Drosophila melanogaster: one gene and its partners. The protein of the gene in region 1 interacts with the protein of each later gene in a pairwise test. Each region holds a gene or a part of one and is shown in the gene's direction. Other genes may lie near its edges. The genes, in order: meigo, CG30394 and CG13012.

Region 1 (10,655 bases):
GATACGACATCTACAGTGCTGTCGTTTTAGCCGTTTTCCCTTCAACTTTGGGAGTTTATTGGTATTAAAAACATTAAAAAGTTTGCAAGTGTGAGCTCGAATTTATAGTTTTAAAATATATATCATTCATTTTGTGTTAAAATATAATTTTATATTTAAATGGTAGATTAGGAAAAAGAATCAATTTTGTTTCCAAATCCATAGAAATAGCTACAAAATGTAGTTTAGCTTTAATCTTCATAATATTGAGTTACATATTCATTATATTTGAATTTGTTTATTTGAAATAAAACACGTACAGCTAAAATACATATCTAGTTGGATTTTCAATATTAATAGCTAAATGGCTAAATTTGCACAATCTAAATTTGCACTTCTGACAGCGCCATCCTATTTCTTTGTTATCGATAAATTTCATGCAAAATAACAAATGATTGTGTTGTTGCAGCCCAGCCCGCAGATTGAGAAATTCCTGCTATGAGAACAGGAAAATCGGCGAGATCCCGATTCCCAAATTCAACGTAGCCCGCCCCGACAACAAAAAACGAATAATGGCCAAGTTGAAGAAACTGCATATGAGCTCCAACCTTGATGACCTGGAGAAGATGTCCATCATTCCGGATCTGCGCAGCAAGGGCATGAAAATGTAAGTGGACACCGCGATTTGGTGCTGATGCGGCTGTTTTGATTTACCTGGCATTCTTCGCAGCCTACTGAACACCGCCCGCAAACTGTACATGACCGCCGAGGAGTACAGACTGGATGGCGACGAGGAACTGGCCTACATCACCTACATGAAGTACTTCAATATGCTGACCGCAATTCACAAAAAATCCGATTACCCCAGCCACAAGACGACGGTGCGCCAGATGCTGGGCGACACCGAGTCGAATCGCCGCATTATGGACACGCTGGAGGAGATTATCAACTCTCTGCGGCATCGTTATGCTCAGCAGCACCAAGCGCCGGAACCAATTGCTCCCGACCTGGTTAGCAATGGGCGTGCGGGTGTGGACTCGCCGATAACACAGCCAACGCAGTACGCCCGACTTGGGCTGATAACCTGTCAGGATCTGTATCGGCGCATGCAGGAGAAATCGGTCCTAGTTATGGACTGTCGCCCAAGCGCCGACTACGAGGCCTCCCACCTCACGTACTACTGTGCATTTAATGTGCCCGAGGAGTTGATAACGCCAGGGTGAGTTGTCCATTATAATAATCTCGCTATTTGGATACTAACTTATTGGATTTACACAGAATGTCGGCTGGCAGATTGCAGGCTCGTCTTAGCAGCAGCGCCAAGGCGTCGTGGGCATCGCGTTCCGTCAAGGATTCGGTGGTTCTTATGGACTGGAACACCAAAGATGCCCAACCGGCGACCAACACAGCCATTTCAACCCTTCTGGACATCCTGAAGAACGTGAGTATGGGTGGTATTTAGCCATAGATTACATATAATCATTATTTTCTGGTAGTGGGATCCGGATGTGACGTATCGCGCACCCATTCAAATTGTCGAGGGCGGTTATGAGTACTTCATTATGATGTACCCGACCCATTGCACTAATCCCAGTGTGCAGGCGCCGCAGCAGAACAACAACGACATTGAGACCATCGATGATATCGAGTATCCCTCAATCCACGACATCACCATGAAGGAGGATATTAGTGCGAAGGACTTCAGACCGCGTCCAGACTTCAATCGGGCCAACAAGCCAGCGGCCACTCGCGTTAATGAACAGGGAATTTCCCGTCCTTCTCCGCCGGCTAAGCCCATTGCTGAGATCATGCGTGATCAGGCCGAGTTTTTGCAGCGCGCAGAGCAGAACGATGAGCAGTTGGAGAAGGCCTCAAAAATGTGGAAGCGTCAAGCAGCAGAGGGCGATGGTTTGAATGCTACCGAGGACCAGGAGTTGCACTTCAGGATCCTACAGTTGGAGAGCAAGGCCCAGGACTATGTAAGATCTATAAATTACCTTATAAGGTTCGATTAATTGTTCGTTTGTGTCGTAGATCGTGGAAAACAATCGTCTGCGAGAAGAACTAAGTCGCATACAAGAGCTACACAATGTTACGCAGCAGTTGTCGCAAAAGGAGGTCGAGGCAACGAGGAATATAGAATCCAAGATCCGCGAACGACAGCGCTTGGACGAGCAGCATGAACTTGAACGTCAAGAGCGGGAGCGCCTTTTGGCGATCGCTCGCGAGACAAAAAAGCATTACAAGTCACCAACACCTTCGGGCCCGCCTTCGCCGGGCAGGAACTTGGAGGACGTACATGTCGTGTCAGACAGCCTGGAATCCCTGCTCCAGTTGACTGGCGATCCGGATCCGACAATTGCGCCAAACAAGGCGGAAATACCAACATTCGATCGGGCGATGAAACCGCAGCCGAGGAATGTGGAGAGGACATCGCAACGCGTTCGTGATTTCTCGCCTGTCATTGGTCAGAATGTGGTAAGTATTGCTTGGGTAGTGGTGGTTGACTCACTGGCCACATAAATATAGCCGCGACACGAGTCAAATCAATAGCCAGCGGGTCACGTTTTGAAGACACCCGCCCAGACGTGCGCCGTTCTTGGTGCGCTTTCTACCCCCACTCTCAGTCGCTCGACGTCCGCACTCAAAGCATGTTCAAACCAAAGAAACGTACAATTGCCATACTGTTAAGCAGGAATAGCATTATACAGGATTCCGCGAATGATTTGTGTAGCGGGCGTGAGGCTCCAGCTGCCAACAGCTCCGCCCACCTACAGCATTTATAGCTCCATCTTTCCGCTGAGACGAGTAATAGCTATAGATTTTATTTTCCTCTATCTCCGAATAGTTAACTATATCCTTGGATAACATTTCAGGGTCGTGGACTGACTGGACTGAAGAATCTGGGCAACACCTGCTATATGAACAGCATACTGCAGTGCCTGAGCAACACGCCTCAGTTGACCGAGTACTGCATTTCGGACAAATACAAGAATTACATCAGCAGAAGCAACAAGACTAATGGCCAGGTGATCGAAGAGGTGGCTGCACTCATCAAGGAGCTCTGGAATGGACAGTACAAGTGTGTGGCCAGCCGAGATTTGAGGGTATGCAACTGAAAAAAAAAAAACACCCAAATTTCTTTCTAAACTAAACATACTTCATTGCAGTACGTTGTGGGCCAGTACCAGAAGATCTTCCGCGGCGTTGACCAGCAGGACTCACACGAATTCCTCACCATCCTGATGGACTGGCTGCACTCGGATCTCCAGACCCTACATGTGCCCCGTCAGCGGGAGATGATCAGTGCGTCGGAAAAGGCTTGGCTGGAATTTACCAAGGCGAAGGAGAGCATGATTCTGCATTTATTCTATGGCCAAATGAAGAGCACTGTGAAATGTGTGGCCTGCCACAAGGAGTCCGCCACGTACGAGAGTTTTTCTAATCTCAGCCTGGAGCTGCCGCCAAACTCGAATGTATGTCAGCTGAACCAGTGCATGGACATGTACTTCAGTGGAGAAAGGATCCATGGCTGGAATTGTCCTAGTTGTAAAACGAAAAGAGATGCCATCAAGAAGCTGGATATATCGAAGCTGCCACCTGTGCTGGTGGTGCATCTTAAGCGGTAAGTGATGCTAACACTATGCTATGCTTGTTTATAATTTCTTAAATCCCGCATAGCTTCTATGCGGATCCCAGTAACTCTGGCTCGTACATGAAGAAGCAGAACTACTTGCGCTTCCCGCTCGAGAACTTGGACATGAATCCCTACATAGCACGGGCGGAATCGCGGGCGGTAACACCTAAGACCTACCAGCTGTACGCCGTATCCAATCACTACGGCACCATGGAAGGCGGGCACTACACGGCATTTTGCAAGAGCGCCAACTACGGAAAATGGTTCAAGTTCGACGATCAGGTCGTCTCGGCGTTGGACTCCTCTAACGTGGTTTCTAGCGCTGCATACATTCTTTTCTACACCTGGCTGCCACCCATGCAGGTGCCTCTGTAGACGCTTCGCTCGGTTTCCTTTCGGTTTTTACCCCTTTCGTTTTAATTGTTTTTTGTTTTTCTCTCATATTATAGCTTTTAAGGTCTAGTCGCCACACCCTTTTATCATTTACAAATTACCGCTTAACTGTTAACTGCTATTTAAGAGGATAATCGCTTGTTTGTTGTTGTCTAGGCTCTTAGAACAGTATTACGCGTGGGCGTATTTTCAATGGGTGCAGGCTGCATTCACTAAAACCAAGAACTTCAAGTGCATTACCAGTGTAACAAAGAGAAGCCCGCATATACGCCTGTGTATGCGGGACTATAGTTTATTGTATTTTGCAAATATATTTTAAAACCAAATAAACGAAATTCAATTTCTGATACAAAGAATTTCTTTGAAAGAATCATGCGTAGGGTTTTTAGAAAACAAATTGGGGAGAGCGGGTATTTTACACTCAACAAATAATATAAAAAAGGGGGTGAAAGTTATTTTACCATTGCAAAGAAAAATTCAGCTAATTTTCGCGCCGAAAAGTTCAATTCGAGATATCCGATAAGTAAATATATTCACTTCCAACTAACGGTCACACTGTAAAACGCCCCCGCTCTTTAGCAAATGCAGTGTTGCCAACTCTTGCTTTCAATAAATAGCTAGTTAGTTGATTTATCAATTATTACATTTATAGTGTTTTATGTATGCCCTATTTTTCATTTATAAAGAGTTATGATTTAAACTTATTAAATAAGATGATGAAATTGATGATTCAAAAGAAGAACATAGCTATAACAGTGCACCTAAAAAATGGCCAAAAATACAGGTGCTTGCAATCACTTAATCTAATCTGGCTAGTAGCCAGCTAAAGCGGCAGCACCGACCACGTATTTGATTGGATTATTTGATAGTCAACGCCAAATCACGGCACTGCAGCCGCGACTCCAGAGAATGCCAACTGTTTAGGATCGTGCATTAAGTCCGACTTAACCAATTCGCAAGTCACACGCTTTAAAAACCGTCATCTGCCCGCCATGAATCTGCCGGAACGCAGCCGTTTTGTGATCTACGCCGTCGGTATCTTCGTATGCTACTTCTTGTACGGAATTGTCCAGGAGAAGTTGACGCGGGGCCGCTACGGCGAGGAGGTACAGACAGATGGATCCGTGGGAGAGCGCTTCACTTACGCCTTGGCCCTTGTTTGGGTGCAGTGCCTCTGCAACTATGTGTTTGCCAAGGGTAAGGATTACGTGGACTTGTAACGAATCAATTCTGATCTGTGGTCTTCCAGTGCTGCTGACCATTAGGCCGCAAAAGGAGGACACCACCAACGCGGGCTCCTACGTGGCCTGTTCGCTGACCTATCTTCTGGCCATGGTCTCCACCAATATGGCCATGCGCTGGGTTCCCTATCCCACTGCTGTGGTGGGTAAATCCGCCAAGCCCATCCCCGTCATGATCCTGGGCGTGCTGATTGGTCGCAAATCCTACAGCTGGACGCGCTATGCTTGCGTATTGACCATTGTCCTGGGAGTTATTCTCTTTATGTACAAGGAGGGCAAGGTGTCCAATTTGCCGGCTGAGACCACGCTTCTCGGCGAGGTGCTGCTCTTCCTCAGTTTGTCAATGGACGGATTGACTGGAGCCGTTCAGGAACGCATCCGAGCGGCCAGCGCGCCTTCCGGTCAGCAGATGATGAGGGCCATGAACTTCTGGAGCACCCTGATGCTTGGCGTTGCCATGGTATTTACAGGTGAGTGTTAAAAACACTTTATTTGAGCTAAAAATATTGGCTAAGACCTTTTTATGTAAGCCCCATACGTTTTTATAAATGTTCTGAAAAACTATAAAAAAAATCTTCAGGTGAGGCCAAGGAATTCATGTACTTCACCATCCGACATCCCGAGGCGTGGACCCATTTATCGCTGATAGCTGTGTGCGGCGTGCTCGGTCAGTTCTTCATCTTTCTGATGGTGGCCAGCTTTGGACCTCTGGCCTGCTCCGTGGTTACGACGACGCGAAAGTTCTTTACCGTCCTGTGCTCCGTTCTGCTGTTCGGAAACGTCCTGATTGCCCGCCAGTGGCTTGGAGCTGTCCTGGTGTTCGCCGCACTCTTTGTGGACATGCTGTACGGCAAGAAGGCGCCACTGGCTACGGCCAAAAAGCCGCCAGTCGAGGGAAAGCTATCCGAGGAAAAGAAACTGAATTCGTAGAATTTGATAGATGATTGCATAGCCCTATGTACTGTACATACACAAATTAAGAAGACAATGCTTCCGGCTCGAGCGGCTGCAGCGCCAAAGTTTCCCCATTTCCTAGAACTGCTTATCGTACAAAGGATTCTAGCTATAGCGAACACAGCATTCGATACTTGATCTGCAACCCATAGACCGTCGTTTAAGTTAATTAAATTATTGATATCTATTAGAAAAGGAACAAATATTGTGCAAAAGTTTACACCAGACCTGCGGGTCTCTAACATACAGGATCATTCAATCATTTAATGCTACAATTTATAATTAAAACGTGCTCTTTTATTAATGGTTGTATTATTTATATGGAACGTTACTAAGAAGGCCTAACAAAGGCAACTTATTTTCTGGCTCAGTTTAATAAATATTTTCCCATTTTTTTTTGTATTTTCTTTAACTTGAATTTAAAGCGCTTAAATCAGAGCTGCCACCTTACACGAAATGTGAACTACGTTCATAGGCAAAAGTAAGATGCTATGAAACTCGAGTTCCAAGATAAAATATCAATTTCGTGTTATACTGAAATAAGATTTAATATTGTGTTAGCTACTATATAAACCGTAATAATATGAAAAAAAGACTACACAAATTAGTTGTATCGATACCGCGACGAATCAATTGGCAACAATCGATAGGATCACTTTGCCGACCCTGGCAACTCTAGTTTATTGCCGTAGCCGTTGCAGATACGGTCGAAATTTTCAGAATGTTTTTAAAATGTATAAATCCAGTGTGCGCAATGCTAATTATACAATAAACTAATCGGGACGAAAATTTCCGAAAAATAAAAGAACGCATGTTTCGAGTTTCGGAACGGAACGGAAGGAAACACAAACGCGAAATTAAGCGAAAGTTGGAAAAAGGATATGCCCAGTATTAGCGGGAAAATGCAATAAAAATTGCAAAGAAAAGCAATCGAAATGCAAAAATTGTGATTATTTTTAACAGCAACGAATGCAGTGTGACGTGTGATTAAAAAGAATAATAAAATTGGCTCGTTTGCATAAATCAAATAAAATATTTTCTTATTGGATGAGTCGCACTCTAGTTGTTGTTGTTGCTGCTACCGCTGCCAGCTGTTTGACTGTGTATTTGTTTTTGCCCTGGTGACGTCCGTGCGCGTGTGTATGCGAGTGTCTTTTAGTGCTTTGGCTTAATTTTAGCAACTAAATTCGATCGAAAGTGAGTGTGGGTCGCAGCGACGCGAATAAAAGCAAAGACAAAGGCGGCAAAGTAAGTGAATTGTGTGTACATAAGCGGGATATGTAAGATGTAATTTCAAAATTTTACTCTGTAAATGTGCTCACATGTTGAAGTGGGAGTGAAAGCACGATAAACAACCCCAAATCACGCTGTCGCCCTGTCTCTTTTCATCTTTCTTTTTGTGGGGGTGGCTGGTCATATGTACCGTTAGCCGGCTGTTGTGTTCTCTTCCTCTCTCTCTCCCTCTCTCGGAATAACGGTTAAACGGAAGCCGGCTAAATGCATTATGTAAAGTTTTAACTTGTGCCCCAATTTAATGTCACACTCCCACTTATCAGCGTGTCGTCAGACGGAATAATTGTGGAAAAGTGATTTATGCTTGCCACTCTCTGTCCCGCTCTTTGGCAGATAGCGAAATTAAGCGCCTCCAGCCCCTCTTATCGCCCGAGTTAAGTCCGTGATCGAGGGTGGAGCCTTTTGTGAAGATATGATGTGTAAATGTATGAAGGTTTTTAAGTTTCAGCAGATAGTTGTAGTGTGAAGATTTCCAATAAAGAATACGACTGACTTTCTTGAAGTTCAAAATCAGTATCAAGTTTATTGTCAGAGAGTGGCTACTCGAGTCCTCCGTTTTCGTCTTATACATAAGTACATAGGTTCTTAATTGTAAGCATAATGAACATGCCGACTCGGCATGTGGCTGGCTAGCTGGGGACAATGTTGCAGTGCGACTTTTGTGTAATGTCAGCATTCGGCCGGAATGTCAGCATTCGGCCGGATGCGGTGTTCCAGTTGCCGTCTTCCCGGTTGAGTGTCCGATGATTTGTTTAGAGGCGTGGGGGTTTAGGGGGTGGGGTGGTAACTCCTCCCCCCCCAGTTCGAAGTGACGGCCATAGCGAAGGTATGGATGACGCGTAGATTGGTACGTGATGATCCTCGTGGATGTGGACGATGTGTTTCGTTCGTCGGTGCAGCCATAAGATGACTGCTAGGAACGTTACCAATCCGAGCAGAGTGTAGAGTGTCCAGGTGTGCTGTATAGTATTGTGATGGACGGCCAGGATTTTATCCATTGTTTGGGTGGCTTCGAGGTGCAGTTTTTCTAGGCTTAGTACCGTAATAGTGGTATTCCTAGTTACTTTTCGCATGGGGGGAAGATCAAAATCCGTCTGTTCAGGGAACGTGTCAACCGTGCCGTCGTAATCGATACCGTTAATCTGTATTGTTTCGTTAATGTATCTGATGATGGCTGACCCCATTATTGAGAGCTCGGAGCCGTTTGTTAGGGATACCTTCAGTTTGTTCACGTTGAATGCGAAGATGTAACCTCTCTCTGCCTCGAACACGTCGGTGATGGGGCCGGTTTCCCGTACATCGCAGGAACTGTTTTCTCCGTTCAAAAGGTGTTCCAGGCATGTGTTGTTCTGTGGTGTATCAACGTAGAAGTTCTCGTCGCACAAGAATGTATTATCCAGTTTGGGGCATTTACGGGTCATATGAAATTTCTTATTATTAATATTATAAGCTAGGTAATTTGGGGTTATTACAAAATATGTGTTATTTATTGGTAATGGAACTAGTCTGGCGAGGGTATGAAAAGGTTGTTTAAAAATTGGGACTTTGATATTAAAAATAATCTTTTGTTCGTAATTTAGTGTATTCATTTGTAGGAAATTGTATATACTTTGTTCATTTTTGACTGTGATATTTTGTTTTTCCAGTATTGTTTTTATTTTATCCATTTCTTGTTCATTTAGGATGAACTTGGGAATTATATTTATTTTCGCCAATAGCATACTTTCTGTTATGTCGTTTAGGTGGTTAATGAATAATTCTATGTTATAATTAATCCTATTTAAATATTGTATTTCTTCCAGAAGGGTATCTTGTAAGTTTAAGTGTTTGTATATTTTGTTTTGTGAGGTATCAAAGAATTTACTTATCAAAATTTGTTCATTATTTATATGGTCCGTGATATTTTCGAACCGGATAAGTATTTCGTTGTTAAACATTACTTGTTTTTGGAGATTGTCGTTACTGACTTCGGAATTTTTCTTTATATTGTCAAGTTCTTCATGTATTTCTTTATTGTCGTTGGCATCCATGTTGCCGGTAACCACCTTTACTAGACTCCCCAATCCGTTAATCAAACCCCGTTTGTTTCTATATGAAGGTGTAAGGGCTTTGAGCTTTACTTGGGCTTGGGTTAATTTGGTTTTTAAAATTGTGACGGAGTCCGTCAACGTGGAATCGGGGTTAAATTTATTAATGGTCAGATGGAATTGTTCCATACATCTGCTGTAGTCTTGTAGGTTGATTACATGACTAATTATTTTGTACCTCTCAATTAGTAAGGCTTTCCCTAGTTCTATCTTGGCTATAGGGGCGTTATCATTTAAATAATGGACATGGATAGCCTGAGTTGGCACAAGGGTGAACCTGAAATGGTAAGTTAAGAGGTAGTGGGGTCAGTTATTATCAGTGTTGGGTACGTTGTTGCTTTTGTCTTTTTTCAAAACTGTTTTTCGAATTTTTGATTTGTGTAGTTTTTGATTCCTAGCAGTTATCAATGTATGACCTTTGTCGTGTTTGACTTTGTGAATCGAAAACCTGGGTGTAATCTTATTACGTCTGTTTTCCTTCCTAAGGACTAAAGTGTCTGGTTGTAGGTCTACGGGGTCTGTTCGGGTTTCATTTAATTTTAGGGTTCTCCTAACTACGTCATTTGAAAGTTTGTCCGTGATGAGGGGGTACAACTTCTCGCGAAATTCATTTAATTTCGTTAAGTAGTCGTGTTCGTTATTGAACTGGATTGTTTGGTTGAATATATGAGTACGTCCGTTAAATAGTTCAAAGGGGGTATGTTTAGTTGCAGAATGAATAGCGTTATTATATGTGATTAGGGTTTCGGACATTATCTCGTCATGCTCGCTACTGAGTTTCTGTTGTTTCCTGACGTCAAGTATTATTCTGTAAATCTCAGTTAGTGTCGAGTGAAGCCGTTCAACGGGAGAGTTACTAGAGGATTGTTGAAAGGACGTAACGTGTAGGTCAATGTTAAATTGAGTGCAGAACTTATTGAACATATCGCTAGCGAATTCTGCTCCCTGATCATAGATCAGCTTTTTGGGAATACCAAATTGGGAAATGAAATGTTTTAAGGCTTTAACTACGTTAATGCAATTCCTATTAGTTATAGGGTAGGCAGCCGCAAATTTAGAAAATTTATCGAT
Region 2 (9,773 bases), on another chromosome or scaffold:
CTTTTGTCGCTCCAGTACCGATGCCACTGACTAGTGAGGACTCCACAGAGTCTGTCTGTTGGGTGGTATATTTCTGATTCTGTGCCGCAGCTGCTGCTGCTGATGTGCTTGGCTTATCTTCGTGTATCAGCTGATCTATACGATTCGCATTGCTGTAGCTGATGAACTGCGGGGTTGGTGTCTTCTTGCGCCACGCGGGGTAGTCCATCATACTGCCGCCGTTTTGTAGGTAAAAGTATTCGGACACATTTTCAAGATGCCTTTTTAAAAGAAAATTTGTTATTCAGCGGTATTTGGTAATAAAAAAGTAGTAACTCACCTTTCTTTAAGATTACGCAAGATCTGCAATTTCTGCTGGAGTATGCGCTTCTTGAGGGCATTCAAGTCCTGCAGGGCCGTAGAAGAAAGCCCGCCGACCTCGCTGCTGGAGGCCACCGACGCTGGTAGCAGGGAGCTTACAATGTTGCTGCTCTCGGCTGGTCCAACAATGCTGGCGGCACTCGTCCTGTCCTCGTTGTCGTCCAAACGCTGACGCTTGGCCTGCGGCGGCAAAACAGAGGCTTCTATTGTGCTGGAGGAAACGGATACGTTGGAGTGGGCGGGTGCTGCTGCTGCTGCCGTTGCCTCTGCCGTTTGCTGTTGTTGTTGCGGCAAGGGCGACAGCGGCACAGGCAGCTGCGCACTGGCCAGTTGCTTCTGTTGTTTGCTGCTGCTGCTGGCGATTCCCTTCACTTGGGTCGCTATATGTTGGTGATGGCGGGTGGCCGGCAAGGCTGCTCCTACTGATCCTGCTGCTCGTACTGTTGTGCTTGTAGAATTGGCGGGGGCAACTGAAATTTCCGTTGAATGTGGAGTTACGCGGTCTGGCACAGCAGGAGGGGCCGGGCTGAGCCCTTCATGCCCCCCTCCTGCTGAATTACCTTCATTCATGTTTGAGACATCTGCAAAAAAAAATAGAAGGGGTGTGAGTTCACAGTGTTATTTTGAAATGACAGCGGATGGCGGGAAAAAGAAAACGTGGCCAGCCTCGAACATGTGCCGATGCTGCAGCCCTGGCCAAACCGCAGAACTCATTGACTCAATAACAGACATTAAATAATAATTTTACCGCTGCGTAATATCCATTATCAAACATGACGGGACAAAAGTCTACAATCATTTTAAAGACAGAATAAAAAAACGCTTATCACACAGAATGCACCCCTCGAAATCAAGAAAAATGCAACCCTGCGTCTTGGTTTTTTCCATTCGGCACACATACGCTTGCTTTTCCGATTTCCGCAAGGGAAATGTGAAAAACCTATAATGTGTGCACAATATTTTCCACTGTTTGAATGGTTTTAAATTTTCAACAGATTTTAACGCTCGAAATATGCACTACACACATAGATGAACACTGGTGGTGCTGGGAGCACGCTGCGAGAGGGAGATGACTATAGGTTGCGACATGGCGGCGTCGCTTTGTCAATTTTCGGCGCGGCAGACATTTTTTTTCACTATTTCCTACCTCAGACGGGGAGAATTTTAATCACAAGATTTCACCATCTCTGCAGGGCATCCGTGCTTGAAAATGGTGCCAATGCGTCGTGGAGAATCTGCTGCACTCGATGGTCTGCAAAATTGCACATTTATTAGATTTAATAAATTTTTCAACTGTCCGCGAGCACGTTTGCTCGTGTTGAATTTCGAGTACAAAATTAGTGCGACTGTTGGATTGCATTGAAATGCCAAAAATCGGTGTGACCATTTCGAAGTCCCCACAGGCTCATGACTTTCGCGGTTCACCAAATCCAAATAACGCAAGCTGGTCACGCTGTCAAACATCGGTGACGGAATGGTGACGACACAAACAATTTGCTTAAAAACTTTCTTGCGGCCGTAAAAATGCGCAAGCAGCCTGGCAGCGCAACGCACGTACACGTAATTGGAACAAATGTTTGCTGAACCACAACCGCCCACTAAATGTAAGCGCCAACGTCTTTTTCACCGCCGCCGCCGTCGTCGTCGTCGCCGGATTATTTTGTTTACAATTTTGCTTACACAAGTGCAATCGTCGATAGCGCTTCATTTTGGAGTAACAAGTAGTATTTTGCGCCGTACTGCTGTTCGCCGTATCAGACAGAAGGTTGGTATCAGTTCGACGCAGCTTGTGACGGTATTGCATACGCGGCGAAACGCCCACGTGAAAACGGATCGCAGTTCTCGAAACTCGGGATAAAAGAGAAAGTAGGCTGAATTCCCGGCAAGATGTTGGCCCACTCCGCGCATGTAATGACGTTGGCCAACAGCATCATAGGCGTCGGCATCTTGGCCATGCCGTTCTGCTTCCAGAAGTGCGGCATCCTGTTATCCATCGTTCTTCTTGTGCTAAGCAATGGAATAACCCGGGTTTGCTGCCACTATCTTATTAAAACCTCGCTGCTGACACGTAGGAGGAGCTTCGAGATGCTCGGTCTCCATGCTTTCGGTACTTCCGGCAAGCTGCTGGTGGAGCTGTGCATCATTGGCTACCTGATTGGAACGTGCATCACGTATTTTGTGGTCGTGGGCGATCTGGGTCCGCAGATAATCGCCAAGATTTTCGCGCTGGACGTGGCAGATCACCTGCATCTGCGGAGTCTGGTAAGAAAGTGCTATTCTATCCAAGAAGAGAAACTAACTCTTATCTACCAGGTCATGGTCGTAGTCACTGTGGTGTGCATAGTGCCCCTCGGCATGCTCCGCAATGTGGACAGCTTGTCCGCCGTTTGCACCGCGTCCATAGGTTTCTATGTCTGCCTAATTCTCAAGATCGTGTTGGAGGCCCAGCCACACATTACGGCCAACGACTGGACGGAAAAGGTGCTCTACTGGGAACCGGCGGGCGTACTCCAATGCCTACCCATCTTCAGCATGGCTCTCTCCTGCCAAATGTGTGTACACCCTGCTTTCTATGTCCGCAAAATTTATTTATATATCTGATCTATTTACAGGCAACTATTTGAGGTCTTTGAGAGCATTAACAACCAGAGTCTCGACAAATTAAACGGCATCGTCCGCAATGCCACTTGGATTTGTACTTTTGTTTACATATCTGTTGGTTTTTTCGGATATGTGGCGTTTTGTACGCACACCTTTTCGGGTAAGCCAGCCACCTTTTTGAGGCATTCTCTGTTCTACATATTTGGCTTTGTATTTATAGGCAACATTCTGGTGAACTTATCGACCTCCTTTGGTAGCGATATCATTAAAATTGGCTTTGTGCTGTCAATTGCTTTTAGTTTCCCATTGGTAATCTTTCCCTGCAGAGCCAGTCTCTATTCGCTGCTATACAGAAAGGTATTTTTGTAACTTCAGTTGGATGGTGTAGACACTAAATATCTATTTTGTATAGGGTCATACGGAAAGCAGTAGCTACATACCTGAACAACGCTTTCGATTCATCACTATCTTCATCGTTGTCTTTTCGTTATGCGTGGCTTTGGTTATTCCCTCCGTGGAGCTTATAATTGGCTTGGTGGGTTCCACCATTGGCGTAGCCATTTGTATAATGTTCCCCGCATCCAGTTTTCGAAAAATCATCAAAAAGGAATCTATGGAACGTACGCTTGCCCAGTTTGTATTCGTAAGTGGATTTCTATTGATGATCCTGGGAACGTATGCGAACCTAAGTGCAATTGATGAAAAGAGCTCCGGCCCGGAGTTTGATATGGTTGCCATAGGCACCCCTCTGTATCCCGATGGCCAAGTGCCAGCTGTCGTCGGCGAGCTACCAAAACATTTGGCCAAAGAATCCATTGACAGTGAAAAGAACCTATTGTTAAAGAAACTGGATGTCCAAAATCCAGACAAATTAAAACAAACCGTTGAGGATAAAGTTGTTGATATGCCGGAGGTAGTGCAATCAGCTTCCTCCGACAACCCACCGTTGCCACCACTGCCCATCGATGAAGTCCATGTAGTTCCCATAGATAGTAAAAATTCTGAAACGGATATTAAAAAACTACCAGTAGAAGCCGTAGAAGCAAACCCACCAGAAGCCAAACCACTCGATGTCAACCTTACCGTGGATAAGCCCAAGAATAATCCGCCTGCTGTTGCTGCATCGCTTCCAGATAAACCAAAAATTGGATCGAGCTTGTTATCAGCAAGCAATACAATTGATGGAGCGGCCATCAAGAAGGAGGAGGACGTGGCTGCCGAAGAGCAAAAGGAAAGTAAGGCTAATGCAGATGAGCTACTCAAAACCCAAAAGGAATTAAAGGAGACCAAAAAACTATTGGCGAAAACCGTTGGGGAGCTAAACGAAGAGTTGGCCAAGAAAAATTCATTTAATCAGCCACCTTTGGAGTTACAGAAAGATGAGCCTTTGGATACTGGTGCGAAATTTGCCGAGGAACCGAAGAAGGCTGAAATTAAGCTTAAGGAGTCGCAGCCAGTTGCGGACGAAAAGAAGGAGAGAAGGCGGCAGGCATCGTTAATGGACATACTCACGGAAAATACACATTTGCGCGATGAAAAGGAGGCCCATGCCGGCGTTTTTGAACCTCTATCCTACAAAACCGGAGAGTTACTCAGGAATTCGACCGTAGATAAAGAAGCGCTTATCAAACGATTGCCCATTCCACTAGCCCTAATGGTGAATTCTACTCAGCCGAAATCATCGAATGACTCGGAGATCAAGAAACCCAACCTTGAAGACAATGTAGAGGCCATTCGCCGGGAGCTGCTCAATCTGCGAAGTTCGGCGGATGCGACAGAGCAGCCACCGGCAAGGGTTAAACGTGAGGCCTCAAACGACGAGAACTGCCTACGCCAGCCCAAGCTGGATGAAGTGAATAATAATGTGGCTGCAGCTGCCTTGAGCTTGAACATGGAAAGTATTGGACGCGATCTCAAATCCATCAAAGATGATGACGTCGAGATAGTTACTGAAAACGAATCCTACCAAGCGAGTCCAAATGGAACCCAAACTTCGCTGCAGACGTAATGCGGATAGTTTACAACTATGCAAAGCTTTATGTATATAACCTTTACATGTATTTATTTAGTTTATAAGAAACTGTAGACTAGAAGTATATACAAATTATATACAGTTCATATGACTTGGGAATATTGTGTCAAATTTCTCGTGGAGTTGCTAGCAAAATTGTATGTGAAGCCCAGGTTTTTTGTAATTCCATCAAAATGTCCATCGTCCTTGATGTTATCCAACAAGTTGTGTTGCAGAAAGCTTACGATCTAACATGCGAGGCAGCCATTTTAGCCTTGAGAAAATGTGGCAAAGTGAGTAGGTGTAATATTTTTAAAATAATATTTATATCGCAATGGTTAATTTCTATTTAAGCTGAAAATAGAGGATGGTAAATCGAAAGCAAAGCGTGAAAAGCCTCTACCTCCGGTCAAGCCTATTTCCCAGGAAGCGGTTTCACCAATGAAAGCTCCAACGATTCCCGAGGCTAACACCATTCCAAAATATACGGGACGGGACATGCCTCGAAAGAACTTTGGCTCCATCGATCCCCCCCAATGCTCCTGCATGCGTGTGTGCCGAGATAGTTACTTCTCTTAGACGAAAAAGAACGCTTAAAAACAATTGCAACTTTAATAGAATAGGAATAGCAAAATTTCAAGGGACCTCAGGCATCGAATCTCATTCCATCTTGTATCCGTACAATTATCAAACGTAACACTAATAACAGTTTTTGGTAGCAACTAACAGGTTTGAATATGAGTATTTACGGTGGTTTAGGCCACGTCTGCTCCCAAGGAGTGCAGATCGTACAGGACTTCCAAAATGGCAGCAACACTCCAGGCCTGCGTGCGACAGGAGTCACCGCAGTAGGAGCCATTATCGTTGGTCAACTCGGGCAATCCGCGCCAATGGGATGTCTGTAGCTCTCGGAGATGGGCCCGTAGTATGGCCCAGGTCTCGGCAATGGTCTCGTCCAAATGGCCACACTTTTTGGCGAAGATCAGGCGCGCCCGCAGGTAAAAACCGATGGGCCATACCCACTCCGGCCCCTGGTGGTAGTTTGCGCCATGGGCTACAGTGCAATCGGTGGAGTCATTTGAGTTGTCATAGTTGGCCCTATAGTTCCAGTCCTCGGGATCCATCGTCTTCATGCCCAGCGGTCCCAGAAGATACTTTTTGGCGCGCTCCAGTGCACGCCAGGCATTCTGAGGATTGCACAGGTCGGGAGCCACGGTCAAGGTGATGGGGAAGTTGCATCGCAGCTGGTAGTCCGTCCAACTCTGGGTGGCTCCATAGCTGTCCTTGTAGATAAGCTTCTTGTTGGCCACCGAGCAGGTTTCCGATTCGGATACAAAGAAATACTTGTCAAAGTTGTTCTTGATGCGATCCGCCCACTCCTTGTAGCTCCACTTGGTCACTTCGCCCGATGGACCCTTTCGTTCCACGCCGGTGTACGGGATAACCTCCTTTTCGGCTAGGCTTTGCATAAACCGGAGTACGGCATACTGGAGGCCAACGAGCTCCACGGCTGATCCGTCGCGCGGCGTACTTGGACGTCCCTTGTTTCCGGCCTTCTGTGAGGATCCCATTTTGTCCATCCAAGTGCCGCAGTTGAAGTTATTGCCTCCGAATACAAAGCCAGTCTCCGGGTGAATTCCGATCTGATTGTTAAAGCCCTGGTCCACCATGTGCGCATCGATCTCATAGCCTGCATTGCGCTCCCTATACTGCAAGCCCTGAAAATGCACCTGCAGTGCCTCCTGCATCACGTCGAAGAGAAGTTGGTCGAAGGCACCTGGAGCATGGGCATCGGCATCGTCGTACGGAAATATGCGGGACACCTTGTCCTTCAGGATCTCGGCACCCTTGGGGGCATCCTCCACATACTGCTTGATGCAGTACATCCACCACCAGATAGCATCGCGGCAGTTGAATCTCGGCTTGCTGCCGCTGTCCAAAAGATTCGGAATGAGTCCGTGTCGAAGGGTCTGACCAAATCCAATGATGATGAAGCGAGCCTCGTTGTAACGGCCAGTGAGGAACATGGAGCCACGCAGAGCGATGAAGGTATCACGGCCCCAGCACCGCATATAGCCTACATAAATGGTTGAATATTCCATTATTCCGTTTCGATTGTTAAATATAATAGATAAACTCACCCGTTGAGAAATGCGGCAGACCAGCAGATAGAGTCACACATTGCTTTGGAGGCTTGGGTGGACTTAGAGCAGGACTGAATCCCGGCAGATTGGCCGACTTGCAAACGGAGAGGAACTGCAACGTGGACAGGGCCAGGGATTGTGGGAAACTGTGGCCATTCTTAATGAAGCTGTAAAAATTAAAGACTTAATAAAAACTCCATGAATGCAGTCGGCTCTAATGGACATACTCTGGCATTAGTTCGTTGACCTGGTTGATGAGCACATTGTAAACCCCGCTGACAATGGCATCAAAGTAGCAGGGTATGAGGTAGCGTGGAATATTCTTCAGTGGCTCAAAGGTAGCTTTGAACCAGGCGGAGAGTGGTTTCAGGTCTTCATAACTAGTTAGGCGATCAGAAATGTAATCTGAAAAGAATTATGTTGTAAAGTAACTACATAAATCTCTATCTTTACAAACTTACCCATCATCCAGTTTCCGTCGCGCAGATTGTTACAAAGCGGATGTCCCAAGTCATTTTTAGGCGAAATCTCCGTCAACAGGGAAATGAATCCTTGCAATCCGCAGTAAACGATCTTTCCAAAGTTGGGAATGTCGTAGGCGGTGCCACCTTTGCCAAGATCCCTCTCCTCATCATCGCAGCTGAAAAGGGCACCACTAAGTGCCACCAGATCCAACTTGGAGACGATAGCCTGCAGCTGGGAATACTCCTCGCCAGATCCAATACGCAGGGCAGCCGAGATTTTCTGGAGCTTATCGAAACTGGTGCGAGGACCAGGATGCATAGACACTCTGATGGCCACCACAGTGCCGGGTCGTAGATTGGCAAAGTTTAGCTCCGTGTTGTTGCCATCCGAATAGGCTTGGGTCTGAAACACTGTCGACTTAGCCAGCGGGATGTGCTCCTGCAGATTCAACTGGAACTGAGTAAAGCCGTTGATTACATTCGGATCCTTTTTGAATGGAGCAGGACGATCGAATGGCTTGTCACTCTGCATGGTCAAGCTGGCCTCCAGGATGATCTCGTCCAGCACACCCTCGAAACGCAGCGGGCGGATTCCGGTGGGTCCGGCATTAGGAGAGGGATAGCCAAAGGCAGTGTGGGCCACGAGAATAACTGACTGATGCGTGATTGGCGAATGACGAGTAACTGCAACTACGTTGGGATCCATCTGGTCTACGTAAACTTGGCTAAATCCCTCCTCTGCGAGCTGTCCATGCAGCAAATTCAGTGCTCTTTTGGCACCCATAATTCCGGACTTCGAGTCAACACCTTTGCCCCATTCTTGGTAGGTGCGTTCCTCATCTACGACATGGATCTGGGAAAAAAGTATGAGTTAGTTTCAGGAATAAATCTTAAACGAATGAACGCTCACATGATGGGGGACCAGTTCGTCGTAACCACGGTTACTTCCTGTGGCACAGCATGCCATGGAAACCAGTGCCGCCGATGGTAGAAGATCGTACACGGAACGCTTCTCCACCGGAGACGGATTATCGTGGGTGAGGTCCAGGAAGAGGGCATGAGCGACACTGGTGGCCTCGTGGCGCGATGAGTTTGCTTGGAAACCACCTACAGGCACTCCTCCATACCGATACACTAAGCGGCCTTGCTCGTGGGAGTCCCAAGCGGAAAGAGCTTCACGGATCAAGGAGGTGATACCCAATCGGTTCACAAACACATTGTCGGTGTAATCGGAATTGGTGAACAGTTCAGCCACCACATACAGCTCTGGGTTGATCTTACGAGCTGCATCGAGAAGGTACTCAGCTACGTGCAATGGCGTGGAGTGGCAGTTGTCCAATCGCACACCGTCGAAGATGCGCGCTGTGGTCTGAACGTACTCGGTCATGTGCTGCCATAGGTAGGGACTGTCCTCCGGCCGTCTGCCGAAGCGCAACTTCACACTATCGCCCCACGAGATGAGCTCCCGCTTGAGGTAGACATTGGCGCGTCCAGGTTGCTCCTCAGCAAAATCCCTCAGAGGATCGCTGTATCCCATGACCCAACCGTTGTGGGCCATGAAGAACTCTCCAGCCTTGGTATACATATCCGCCTCGATCTCAGTGAGCGATTTTCCCTGGGTGCCGGTATGCGTAAAGTAGACCATAAAGACCGAGTGCTTCTCGGAGATCTCCTTCACTCTGGGCCCATCGCCCTGGACTCTTTCGTAGCGAACTCCGGCCAAAACATTGTCTATCGCATAGTTTATGTAGCCTTGAACCTCGCAGCGCACACGATCGTTGAGGGCATCGAGATGCCGGCGGAGGGTTTCGGCGCACTTGCGGAACCGTGACTCCTCATCGAAGCAGTCGCCATGGAAAGCATTAAAGATCTCCAGCGCCAGCTCGAAATTAATGGTGCTGGCCAAGCGTCGATATTGCGGGTCCTGTATCAGTTGGATTTCCTGGAAGCGACACTCGTTGGCCACATTCTTCGGTGGCTCGCGAGTTCGCACCTGGGACATGAACTCGTTCACGTACTTCATCACATCGCACTGATACAGCTCGTGTATATTGACCTTGGACATGTAGGAGGTGTGCAACTGGTACTTTAACGCTTCCAAATGGCACTCCTGCTCGATGACCGCAGGTACGCCTACATGCTCCAGGCTGCCCTCGGCTATGTCCGCTCCGCACTGGGCGAATGTGGCGTCCA
Region 3 (11,058 bases), on another chromosome or scaffold:
ATACTCTGCTCCGTTTGGCCGATGCCGCCGAGCTGGAGAAGATGACCACCACGCACAGCATGCAAAAGTTCAATCACGGCTGCATCTCGGACTTTCTACTGCCCGGGATGGGCAAAGAGCAGATCCTGCGCTACTGCGAGATACCTGTTCTCATCAAGGACGTAATCCAGGACGGCATTAAGTCCTACGTGCAAAAGGGCTACATAGAGGATATGTTTCCCCTCCACGATATCGTAAGTTATAAATATATCCTAATTATATACATGGATAGATTGTCTAATGTTATGCAATGCATCAATCTATACACTTAGCTGTATCTCGAACGCTTCAACTGGAACCTGAAACGCACCAAGCTGCCCATCGAGGACATCCGGAACTACTTTGGTTCCAGTATAGGTCTTTATTTCGGCTTCATCGAGTTCTACACGAAGGCACTGATCTTTCCCTCCCTTTTTGGTATACTCCAATATGTATTCGATCTGAACATCTCGCTGGTCTGCAGTTTCTACGTTGTTTGGACCACGGTGAGTTAAATTGTTAATTTTCAAGGCGAAACAAAGTAAACCTTTGCACAATAAAAATAAATTGCTTTTACAGCTTATAAATCTAAGTATAGCATCACTTAAGTGCTCTTAAGTTGGAAACTTTTAAGTGCTATAGTAAAAATAGCTAGCATGTATGTATTTTGATCTTGCAGTTTTACCAATTTTCAAGTTTGAATAGTTTAAATATATCTATACACCGACTAAATCATTGCCACAAAAAACAGTTAACTAAAGATTAAATACACTAGAGCTGGCATAAAACGTTATGGTTTTGGTCTTCCAATCGATTTTATATTAACATATTCCTATATTTTTAGATTTTCCTGGAGTTGTGGAAGCGTAAGTGTGCCGGCTACTCGTATCGATGGGGCACCATTGAGATGAGCAGCCTGGACAAGCCGCGATCCGCATATACGGGCCAATTGAAACCGGACCCCATCACCGGCAAGATGACACTCCACTATCCGATGCGGTACACATACCTGCAGATGTACTGCATCTCGTATCCGGTGGTGCTGGGCTGTGTGGTTGCCGCCGGCTGGTTTGCCCTCTACCAGTTTCAGATCGAAGCCGAGGTGCTGGCGGATTTCGGACCAGACTCCTGGCTGCTGTACGTGCCGGTTATTGTGCAGTCGGTGCTGATTGCGATCTTTTCGTGGGCATACGAAAAGCTGGCCACATTCCTCACCAACCTGGAGAACCATCGAACTCGATCGCAGTACGATCGTCATCGGGTCAATAAGCTGATGCTCTTCGAGATCGTGAATAACTTCTTCTCGCAGTTCTATATTGCCTTCGTGCTGCACGATCTGCGCCAGCTGAAGTACCAGTTGATGATGCAACTGCTGGTCTTCCAGCTGCTGTGCATCGCCCAGGAGATTGGTATACCGCTGCTGGCGGTGCTGCGCCAGAAGTACGCCGAGTTCCGTCATCGCGAGGTGGCCGAGGAGAAGCTGCGATCCATCAGTGATCTGCCGCGCTACGAGCAATCGTTCTACGAATCCGGACTAGATGAATATCATTCCACGTACGAGGACTACCTGCAGGTATGCATCCAGTTTGGATTCGTGGTCCTGTTTGCCGCCGTTGCCCCATTTGCCGCCATTGGAGCTCTGCTGAACAACGTCTTTGCGGTGCACATTGATATGTGGAAGCTGTGCAACATCTTTAAGCGACCATTTGCAAGGCGCGCCAAGAACATCGGCGCCTGGCAGCTGGCCTTCGAGCTGCTCTCAGTGATGTCGTTGCTTAGCAACTGCGGTCTGCTCTTCCTTCAGCCGAATGTCAAGTGAGTTTTGGCCTTTTTCTGACTTTCTTACTGATAATCATCCTTTTTTTAATCCATCAGGGACTTCTTCTCTCACTGGCTGCCATCGGTGCCGGATCTTTCGTTCGTAATCTTCGAACACTTGCTGCTGGGCCTGAAGTTTCTCATCCACAAGGTTATTCACGAAAGGCCGCGCTGGGTGCGCATCGGACTGCTAAAGGCGGACTTCGAGACCAGCCAGGCTCTCAAGCAACTCAAGTGGGTGTAAAACGAATTCAATGGAGAAACAATAAAACATCTAACGAACTATGTACTTGCAGAAAATTCAAGGCGGAGGCCAACAAGATGGCCTGATGGGCCACAAGATCGCCGGATCTCCCACTCCACTCCTTTTGGTGCTAATGAAACCAGTCCATTTTAAATGTTATTATTTATAAACATACGACTAATCGCGTTTACCGCGAATGTTCGAGACCAACGGAAGTAAGGTGCCTTAAACCTAAAACTCATATAAATATGTCCACAGAGTACTTAAGATACTGCTTTTGTCTGGCCGGGATTAGCGTGCGCCTCGGAAGTGCCGGAACGCCAAGTAGGCATCCAGGGCATGCAATATTCCCGCTGCATAGCCCATGTACTGAAAGTTAAGGAGTTTAAAGGGATTTTTGGTTAAATATAGGCATATTTTTTATTTAAATCAGCAGTACTTACATAGCAGGCTGTCATGGCCGGATATGCCCAGAATCCGGGTCGCACCAGGAACTGCGGATGTAGCCATACCACGCAGGCGAAACCCATGTAACTGGATGAGCTGAAGTACATGCAGCTGGCGAGGCCATTGAACAAGGTCTCCTGGAATAAGAGCAATCACCATATCGTTAGATCAGAAAAAATTAAAATTAAAATGCATCCTTCAATTTGAATTGAATTTTGTGTTCGAGCAAGTTAGTAGAGAATCTATTCTTCACTTGGAAAAGCGCTCCAAGTCAACCTACGAATAGTGACTGCCGAATGAGACTGTAGGATTTGTCGGAGAAGGCGTAGCACAGTAGCAGGATGCCAGTGGTGGTGAAGCAGTGGCCGGTTGTGGCCAGGAAGCTGGTTAGCGCCTGGCCAATGGAATCGGCGTATGGTACGCCGTAGCGGATGAGCAGTCCCTCGCAGAGCATGGCCAGGCCCAGTTGCATCAGCTTCAGGAGGCCGATCCGCGACAGAACGAACCCGAAATTGATGCAGGTGCAGACGCGACAACAGCATATCCGAATGCCCAGCGGCTGGCCCATTCCTCGAACTCCAAACGAGGCCATGGTCTGATTGCAACTGATCCGGCGATGCAGCGACTCCGCTTTGTTGTATGTTGTCGTAGTGCCAGCCAACCAGGTTCTATAAATAGCTGCCGATACACATGGACCCCAAGTGGTGCATTTCCTTGCATTTCCAGCGACGTGGCAACAAATCCACCCCAATCTCCAGCTAAATTTAGAACAGCAATTCACAATGGGCGAGGATTTGTCTATGCGGAAGGTATCTTCCTTAAATATCCGATTTAATTTCTCTGAAACTACATGATATATATGTTAAAATATTGATACAACTTGGATATCAACCTTTTCACCTTTTAATTTGATCCATTTACCCAAGTGTTTGCTATCCTACGTTCAGTTTGATTTTCGATGCCATCCAAATTCTAGTCGCCAATTCGAATCGTTCCAAAAAAAAAAAACGTTAAGCATAATTCCCCAAATTTCGAGCTCACGCGAACGTGAACCACTGCCAGGATGTGCATGCCGTATTTGAGTAAGCTCTTCGGTGGAGGCGATCGCCGGCAGCGTCGCACCCGCGATGGAGGCGTCACCCCACTGCCCAGCCTGGCCAATGTGACCCAGGTCTCCATGGACACCGTCAAGTCCGCCAAGTCAGCGAAGTCAGCGAAGTCGGCTAAATCCGGCAAGTCCGCCGGTCGCCGTAGTACCACCGCTGCCAATCCTCCTGAGTCCAGTGTCAGCAGCAATGAGGATAATGCGGAGCAACCTCTGGCGACCGCCTCCCGAGGAGCTGTGCGCAACGCCACCGCCTCGATGGCCACCAGTGCTGCTCCAGCCGACGAGGCGAGGTCGCGCCGCTCCTGGTGGGGATACTTTGGCATGAGCAAGAACAAGAAGTCCAGCATTGAGTCGCTCTAGACTGCCAAGGATCGGGATTGCAGCGAATTGCAATGCATATATTCAATAGGAGTTGATGGTCATCGAAATTTGGCTTGCAGTAGTCCCCTATACACTTATCAAAAATCTTTTGCTTTTTTCGCTTTCAAGATATTAGTTAAATAAAAATGTTCCATTTCGAACCTTTGGAACACCAAAAGTTCTTAAGTTTCTATATGGTAATTATGGCAACCTATTATAGCATTTTAAAACGTTCTCTCAACTACAATAATTTATTTTAATAATAGTTTTCAAAAATTCGTGTTAGGCTTCCAGATCTCGTCAAACTGTCAGTACATTTAAAATAGATAAATTTTTAGATGAGATAATGAAACTGGGGGAATCCTGCAAAACATGAATAATCTAAACTGAAATAAAGTTGCCAACTAAATTGGTCAATAAATCAGGGAAGTTATGGCCAAGTTATATGTATGTATGTACATATGTACTTTCACTTTCCCCGTCGATCTCTACGCCCCTGAGCTTTCTTTGTGCCCGCTCTGTTCTCCGATTTCTTTAGCCGATCGGTTGGCGCTCTAGAAGATCGTGTTGTGTCCGGGAAGGGGGCGTGGCAGGGGCAGGGACAGGAGCGGGATGCAAACAAAGCTCAAACGTCGGCACCGCCAGCGATTAGTGTAATTTATCAGTCGCAGCGGCAATTTATGTGGCTAAGCCCGATCGGTGGGATTATATACATTCATATATCTATATAGATGTACATGTTTGTGGGATTGTTTGTTGTGTGTGGGGGGGTGGGGGGTGTGGTGCTCGTGCGGGGGTGGATGCTTTTTGACAATAAAATAATGTGGCTGTTATCACAAGTAATTGTTGCTGCCGGCAGTTGTTATTGTTGCTCCTACCGCTATTGTTGTGCGCTGTCGCTTGCGTCAATGGGCGGCTACACTGCGAGAAATTGGGGCTAAGCGAAAGGCAATTTATGTAAAAATATACCAATAATAATAAGATTACAAATAAGACAATAAATATGAAGGTTTAAAATCTAAGATTGCATTAGAAACGAAGGTATTTGAGTTATTTTTGTAGAATAAACAAGTATAGTTTAAAAATATTTAAAAAAATATTTTCCTGTATACATTCATCTACTTTTGTATTAATATATTCAAGCGCTTATTTATAATTCTTCTTGAATATGTAAAAATGGATTGTAATGCAATTCTTTAAATGTATGCAATTCTTATATACTTATTAATTTTAAAATTTTTTTAAGTGATGTTTCGAATAAAAGGTAGCTATAACGATGACGCCCCAGAAATGCTGTAACAAGTGAAACCGTTCAGAATTTGCATAAATCGTTGCAAAACCCCCTCCACCCCCCTCCACACTCCATAAAGCGGAAATTTTGCAATCTGCAATTAGGAATTTGCCAATTTCGTCACGAATTTTGCACGTGCATAAATCATTGCAGTTAGTTGGTCAATAATCAATCGCCCGTCCAACTTCATCCAATTGGAAATGTGGGATGAGAGGCATTTTGCGATTTTTCGCTTTTCCGAAAAAACAACAACTACGAACACACAAAGATCTCTTTATGCTCTCTTGTTTATTTTAAAAGTCAAGACTATAGAATTTACACATAGGCATCTGTGGTTAAAGTTATGTATATATATATACATAATATCCGCCGATCGGGCGGAAAATGGGAAAGCTCTGTCTGCCTTTCTCTCATTGGCGCAAATGCGTCTGACGTCGCAGCAACGAAACAATATAACAAAGAAAATGTTAAATTTTCAAATGTTTACGTGAAGAAGCGAACAAACAAGGAATGTAAAAATAATTCGCACTGAAAAATCGAAAAAAAACCACTTGTAAATTGTTAATGGTTGTGCCATTAATTGCGGCAAGACTTACACAAAAAAAAAAAGAAACAAAAAAAAAGGCAAAAAGTCGACACAGTGCGCTGATTGTTGTTCAGTCAAATTAAAAGTGCGACAAATTCTCGCGTTCAGTTGCATTTTCATTTTCATTTGCAGTTTTGTATTTGTTTATTTCGGTCGCCTGACAATCTCCAAATCGCCTTAAAAAAAAAATAAAAAAACAAAATAACAACGTACACAACAACGGGGCATTTAATTAAATAAATCGCAAACATCAGTCAACGGCCTGTTATTTCCAGCCGCCAAATCGGACATTATATCGGACATTCTATATACTATATAGCACATTTCGAGAGATCCAATCTGGCGAGAGAAAACCCAGAACAGGAAACAATTGAAATCATCTGAGAAAACGGTATTTATGATGGGAAACGTGGCCAAAAGCAATATGTATGTACAAATTCCTCAAAAATATCAACAATATAATTTCAGCATAAGAAAACAACATAACAAAATTCGTAAATATTAAAATTAGTAAAAATAATATACATTAGATGTATGGAAAAGAGCTAAATATTTCAAAAATTTATAAAGTGAGTTAGAAAGAGCGTTGTTACGATCGTTTTGAAAGTGAATGAATGTGCTTTTCCCAGAACTTAAACAGTCTAAAAACTGTTGTTGGCTGGCTAAACAAATCGCTTTTCCCCATTAACAGCCAAATGCAGCTGTCAATTGGCAACAACTTGCTGGCAAATAGCAAATATTTTGTGCTTCGTACTTAAAGTTTAATAGTACGAAGCACAATTGTGAGTGGTGGGTGTTGATAGACCAACAACAAGTGCGAGCAGCACAAATGTTTAAAATAGAGTATATTTTTATATTTTTTTTCCTTTTTTTGTTTTTTTTTTTTTGCTGAAACGCCAATTCATGGGGCAACAACAAGATGCAGAAGGGGCGATTTCTTGGGGCGAAAGTCGCAATGAAGGGCCGTAAACAAAAAGGCTTTATCTGGGCCAACATCGAGCCAAGTGAGAAGATAATGGCCAAGTGCCTGGCCAGTCTGGCACACTGATTGACTATTATATATACCCATCATGTCTATAGTTAACCGATCCGATGCGATCCTGGTCTAGAAGTGGTATAACCTGCGATTGCCATTTATTTATAGCAATTTGTTTGCCGCCCCGTCGACGTCACTATCATTTGCTATTGTCATGATTTTTGGAAGTCTAAAAACGTAGAGGTGGAGGAACTTGGCGACTTTTAAACGTTTGCAAAACAAGTACACTCGAACCCATATCGCTGTGGCCCACTTTAATTTGAAATCCTTTTCTTAAGTACAAATAGAGCCCCAATATATATGTATATATATATATATATATATATATATATAAGTTGTTAAATAAAATAAAGGTAAGCTCAGGTAGGAAAGAATGCGAAAGAATGTCACACTCATAAATGACGCATTATCGAAATTGAATTTTGAAATGTCAACCAGTTTCTCCCAGTGTACTACGCGCTGCGTGCCCCGCACCGGAGATGAGTTGACAGAATGTGAACAAGTGCCCCTCGATTGGAAAGTCCAAAATCACATGGTAATGTACTATATCTTCTGCAATGCTGTCTCAGGTGGGAAAACCTCAGTTTCGGAGTGACACTGCAGTTCCGAGTAGATATCCTTTGAGTTTGAGTTCCTGATTAGATGACCTGATATGACCGGCGATCCATAATATTTCGCCGAAATCTTATCTTTAAAGAAAAACATAGCAGCGTACTCATAAGTTTAATTACTAAATATATGTTCGTGCCGCACAAATAATCTTAGTCATTGCTCTTTAATTGAAAACTAACTAGATTGATACGAACAATTTGTTATTTATGTTTTCAGGGAATAGTTATAGATATGGAATCTATATACTGATAGCATGCCTCTCTTTGGTTTTATAAGCCAACGAGTTGCTGAAAACCAAATCTTCTAGCTTATCGAAACAATCGAGAATCGATTATCGAGTATCGATGATTCACCCCCACTGATGGATCCAAAGCGGAAGAGTCTTCCCATCCGGAACGGAAAATTCCGGAATGGTAGCCACTTTGGATTGTCAATTTGTGGGAGAAAAACAAAAAACAGTTTGCCCAGTCTGTCCATCTGCGTCATTGCGAAAAAAAAATACTTGTCGCCCACTTGTTGTCGAAGTGGGCGTGGCCGGAGGTGTGCTGACACACAAACAATTGCGGACGCAAGTAAACGAGAAATTTTGAAGAAAAATTAAAACCCTTTTTTTAATGGGTACACTGCAAATTTTAATGTGATCTAAGCTGATCTGGGCATATCAAGGTAATTACTTCTTTGTTAGATTTATGATATAATGATATGATATGATATTATGATTTATGATATGATCACTTGGGCAGACAAGTGTACTAGATGCGTTCAAGGAAGTCGTTTAGTTTTCTTAAATTATACCAGAAGCTTGGGCCTTTCAATTGCTTGATAATCCTACCATCTTGGCCGCTGCTGTATGCGCCCTTAGATACTTGTACATGGGTTTTAGTTTTCTCTGTGAGGCGCCATGTACCCAAGTACCTCGAATTCCTGAGGATCGTGTTCGCTATGCTGCTTATCAGCCCATCTGGTATCGTCAAATCGATAAATCATGTTCCCAGGGGTTCGGCGATGACAATAGCTGATGACGATGACGATGGCGATGGCGATGGCGATCTTCCCCCACCTTGATCTACTGCAAATGCCGTTCTATTCGTAACTGACTTGATCGCTGGCATTGAGACGCTGGCATCGCTTTCATTTGACAACGATTTCCATTTCAATTCCATTGCGTTCGTTACATTTTAATTAGATTTAAGATCATTTTCGTATCGTATGAAAAGTAGACCCGGCTCAACTTGACGGAGATCGCGTCTCCCTCCCGTTTTAACCCCAAGTATATCAGATATACACGAAAATAGCCCACCATTTTGTCAAATGGTTATATATGTTTAAAGCAACTCGCTCTAAATTCAAAAGAAGATTTTGCAGTCGCTGGAAGTGATAAATAAAATAAAATAAAATCAAATCAATTCAATTCATTTTAATTAATGGTAATTAAATCGAGCACGCCTGAACCGGCCAACAGTGCGTATGAGTGATAGACGTCTGAATCGAGTCGCGTGTGCATTTATTGAAGTTAATGCATATTATTGTTTTATCCACACTTGTGTGTGTGTGTGTGTGTGTGTGTTAGGCAAATCCGGTAATCGTACTTAATAAATGTGGAAACACCAAATTGCATAAAACTAATGCAATTTGTTGAGTCTTTCTGTTGCATAAGCCAGAGCTAGAATACTCTTACTTCATTTATCTACATGATGCCAGCGATCTAACTGCTTTCATTTTCATGTTCCTAAATTGGCCCAAAACAAAGTGTTTGGCCTTTATAGGGTTAAGCCGCCTTTCTCGACATTCTCGCGACTGCGCAGTCGGCGTCGCAGCCGCCGCTTTTGGCGCAATCGAAAGTTACGTTTGGGCTTTACGTAGAGCGCATTAGTCGAACGCCGATTGTCGGCGGCATTAGTTCAGAGTTAAAAGTAAAAAACGAATACAACGAGCATAAGGCCAAAATACGATTAGTAGAGTGCATCTTGAATTTTGATACAGAGATATTGCAAGTGAGTGGTTAGTTCTTGGCCAATATATCTTATATCGTAATATCCTACATATATCTTATATCCAGTGCCATTTTTGTGCTCTGTAGATTTGTGTTCAGTGATAATCAATTGATTGGCGTGAATTTTCGAATGGCGCGTTCTACATTCATTTTAATGTGCAAATTTAGATGATTGCCGAATTTTAATTCGAAAATTTCGCCGCTATGCCATTTGCGAGCCGTAATTTGTGCCATTAAATTGCAAATTGTTGCCACCACAAATGATTAAATTAATTAAATTATTAATGGCGCGGTGGCTAAACAACTACAGAAGACGCGACACTACATATATCACATACTATATCATATATATTGTACATATGTACATATATCGTAGAACATTGTGCTCATATGTACGAGTTGAAAATCGTGCTCGCATTTCTCCAGCGACTTAGCATGCAATCCCGCTTTCCACATCCCATTCCTTCCGGTTCATTTAACAAAAAAATGAAATAATAACAGAGACTTTCTTGAATAAACAACTAATAAAACAAATAAAATGTTTAAAATTATGAGTGCAAGTGCGAAAGTTAATCAGTTCAATTAGACTCTCTTAGGCCCTAAAATACATATACCTTTATACTAACTTTTTAAAAACCTTTTCGGCTTCTGCCCTTTTTTTGTAGCGTGACAAGAAAGTATATAATTTTTAAAGAATATATATCTTCTTACTTTAATATACATACATATATACCTTCTTATATTCTAGCTTCATTTGTCAACAAATAGTTTAGTTGTTTTTAATCCTTGTATTCAATGCAAAAAAAACAGACCAAAGAAATGTTGAATGAATGTCTTAGTTTTTATTCAAGAGCCCTACATGATGTTGTATTTATGCCAGTATTATTGAAACCTACGCACATTTTTTCTCGGTGCACCTTTCGCACTTCCAGCAAACTTTATATCGCTTAGTTTTCGATAGTTATTCGATTCGCATGCAAATCATGTGGGGGATCTCATAGAAAACAAGCATACTGTGCTAATCAGACGGGCCTTTAAATTCCAATCATGAAGCCAAATCAATTTACCTTTTGGAACTCTCCCTACCTCCCTCCCTCCCCCTCTCCAATCATTTGGAGAAGAAACACGGAATAATAGGTGACAACTGGAGATATTCCCCATTTGGCAGCTTCTGATGGCACATAAAAGGGTTTTAGTGCCTATCTTATTTTAGATACTTTTCCAGACACGATTCTCCTTCCAATTTTTTTTTTTTTGTTTTTTGGTGGATACAACCAACGCCTAATTGGCAAACGTGACAGATAAAATTCCTAACTAATTTGAAAGCATCAGCAGTTACAGTCGGTTTTTTTGTACGAAAACAAGTAATATATATTTACTTGGAAAATCTTAATTGGTTTCTCTGAATATTATATAGTTCAGTTTACTTCCGCACTTAACTTGATATAAATATATTTTTTAAGGGGAAACTAGTTTTTGAGTATATTTCCAAAGTGTTTGCACAGCTTTTGAGTGGCTGAATGGATGTCTTATCAAATGTCCACA

The links.
Region 2: the proteins of meigo (region 1) and CG30394 interact in a two-hybrid assay, tested with the Drosophila melanogaster proteins (one large-scale study listed by BioGRID).
Region 3: the proteins of meigo (region 1) and CG13012 interact in a two-hybrid assay, tested with the Drosophila melanogaster proteins (one large-scale study listed by BioGRID).

The regions. Positions count from the first base shown.
Region 1 is NT_033777.3:21,133,860-21,144,514, forward strand, and holds meigo (medial glomeruli), read left to right. Parts: upstream 1-4,410; 5' UTR 4,411-4,629; intron 4,630-4,695; 5' UTR 4,696-5,001; coding exon 5,002-5,206; intron 5,207-5,258; coding exon 5,259-5,720; intron 5,721-5,830; coding exon 5,831-6,180; 3' UTR 6,181-6,506; downstream 6,507-10,655. Other genes in the region: Usp8 (ubiquitin specific protease 8), read left to right, coding at 552-646, 710-1,198, 1,258-1,420, 1,476-1,958, 2,014-2,457, 2,856-3,086, 3,150-3,604, 3,661-3,991. UniProt on the Drosophila melanogaster protein: Probable sugar transporter.
Region 2 is NT_033778.4:21,315,357-21,325,129, reverse strand, and holds CG30394 (uncharacterized protein), read left to right. Parts: upstream 1-1,809; 5' UTR 1,810-2,247; coding exon 2,248-2,622; intron 2,623-2,673; coding exon 2,674-2,912; intron 2,913-2,972; coding exon 2,973-3,121; intron 3,122-3,181; coding exon 3,182-3,318; intron 3,319-3,373; coding exon 3,374-4,969; 3' UTR 4,970-5,090; downstream 5,091-9,773. Other genes in the region: dom (domino), read right to left, coding at 1-260, 320-930; CG33655 (uncharacterized protein), read left to right, coding at 5,167-5,265, 5,327-5,551; CG9485 (uncharacterized protein), read right to left, coding at 5,728-7,049, 7,114-7,283, 7,344-7,521, 7,578-8,433, 8,491-9,773.
Region 3 is NC_004354.4:16,671,376-16,682,433, reverse strand, and holds the start of CG13012 (uncharacterized protein), read left to right. Parts: upstream 1-5,680; 5' UTR 5,681-6,263; exon of another isoform or gene 6,264-6,298; intron 6,299-9,397; exon of another isoform or gene 9,398-9,521; intron 9,522-11,058. Other genes in the region: Axs (abnormal X segregation), read left to right, coding at 1-233, 312-524, 863-1,833, 1,894-2,070, 2,133-2,166; sing (singles bar), read right to left, coding at 2,372-2,449, 2,524-2,664, 2,808-3,119; CG13010 (uncharacterized protein), read left to right, coding at 3,591-3,995.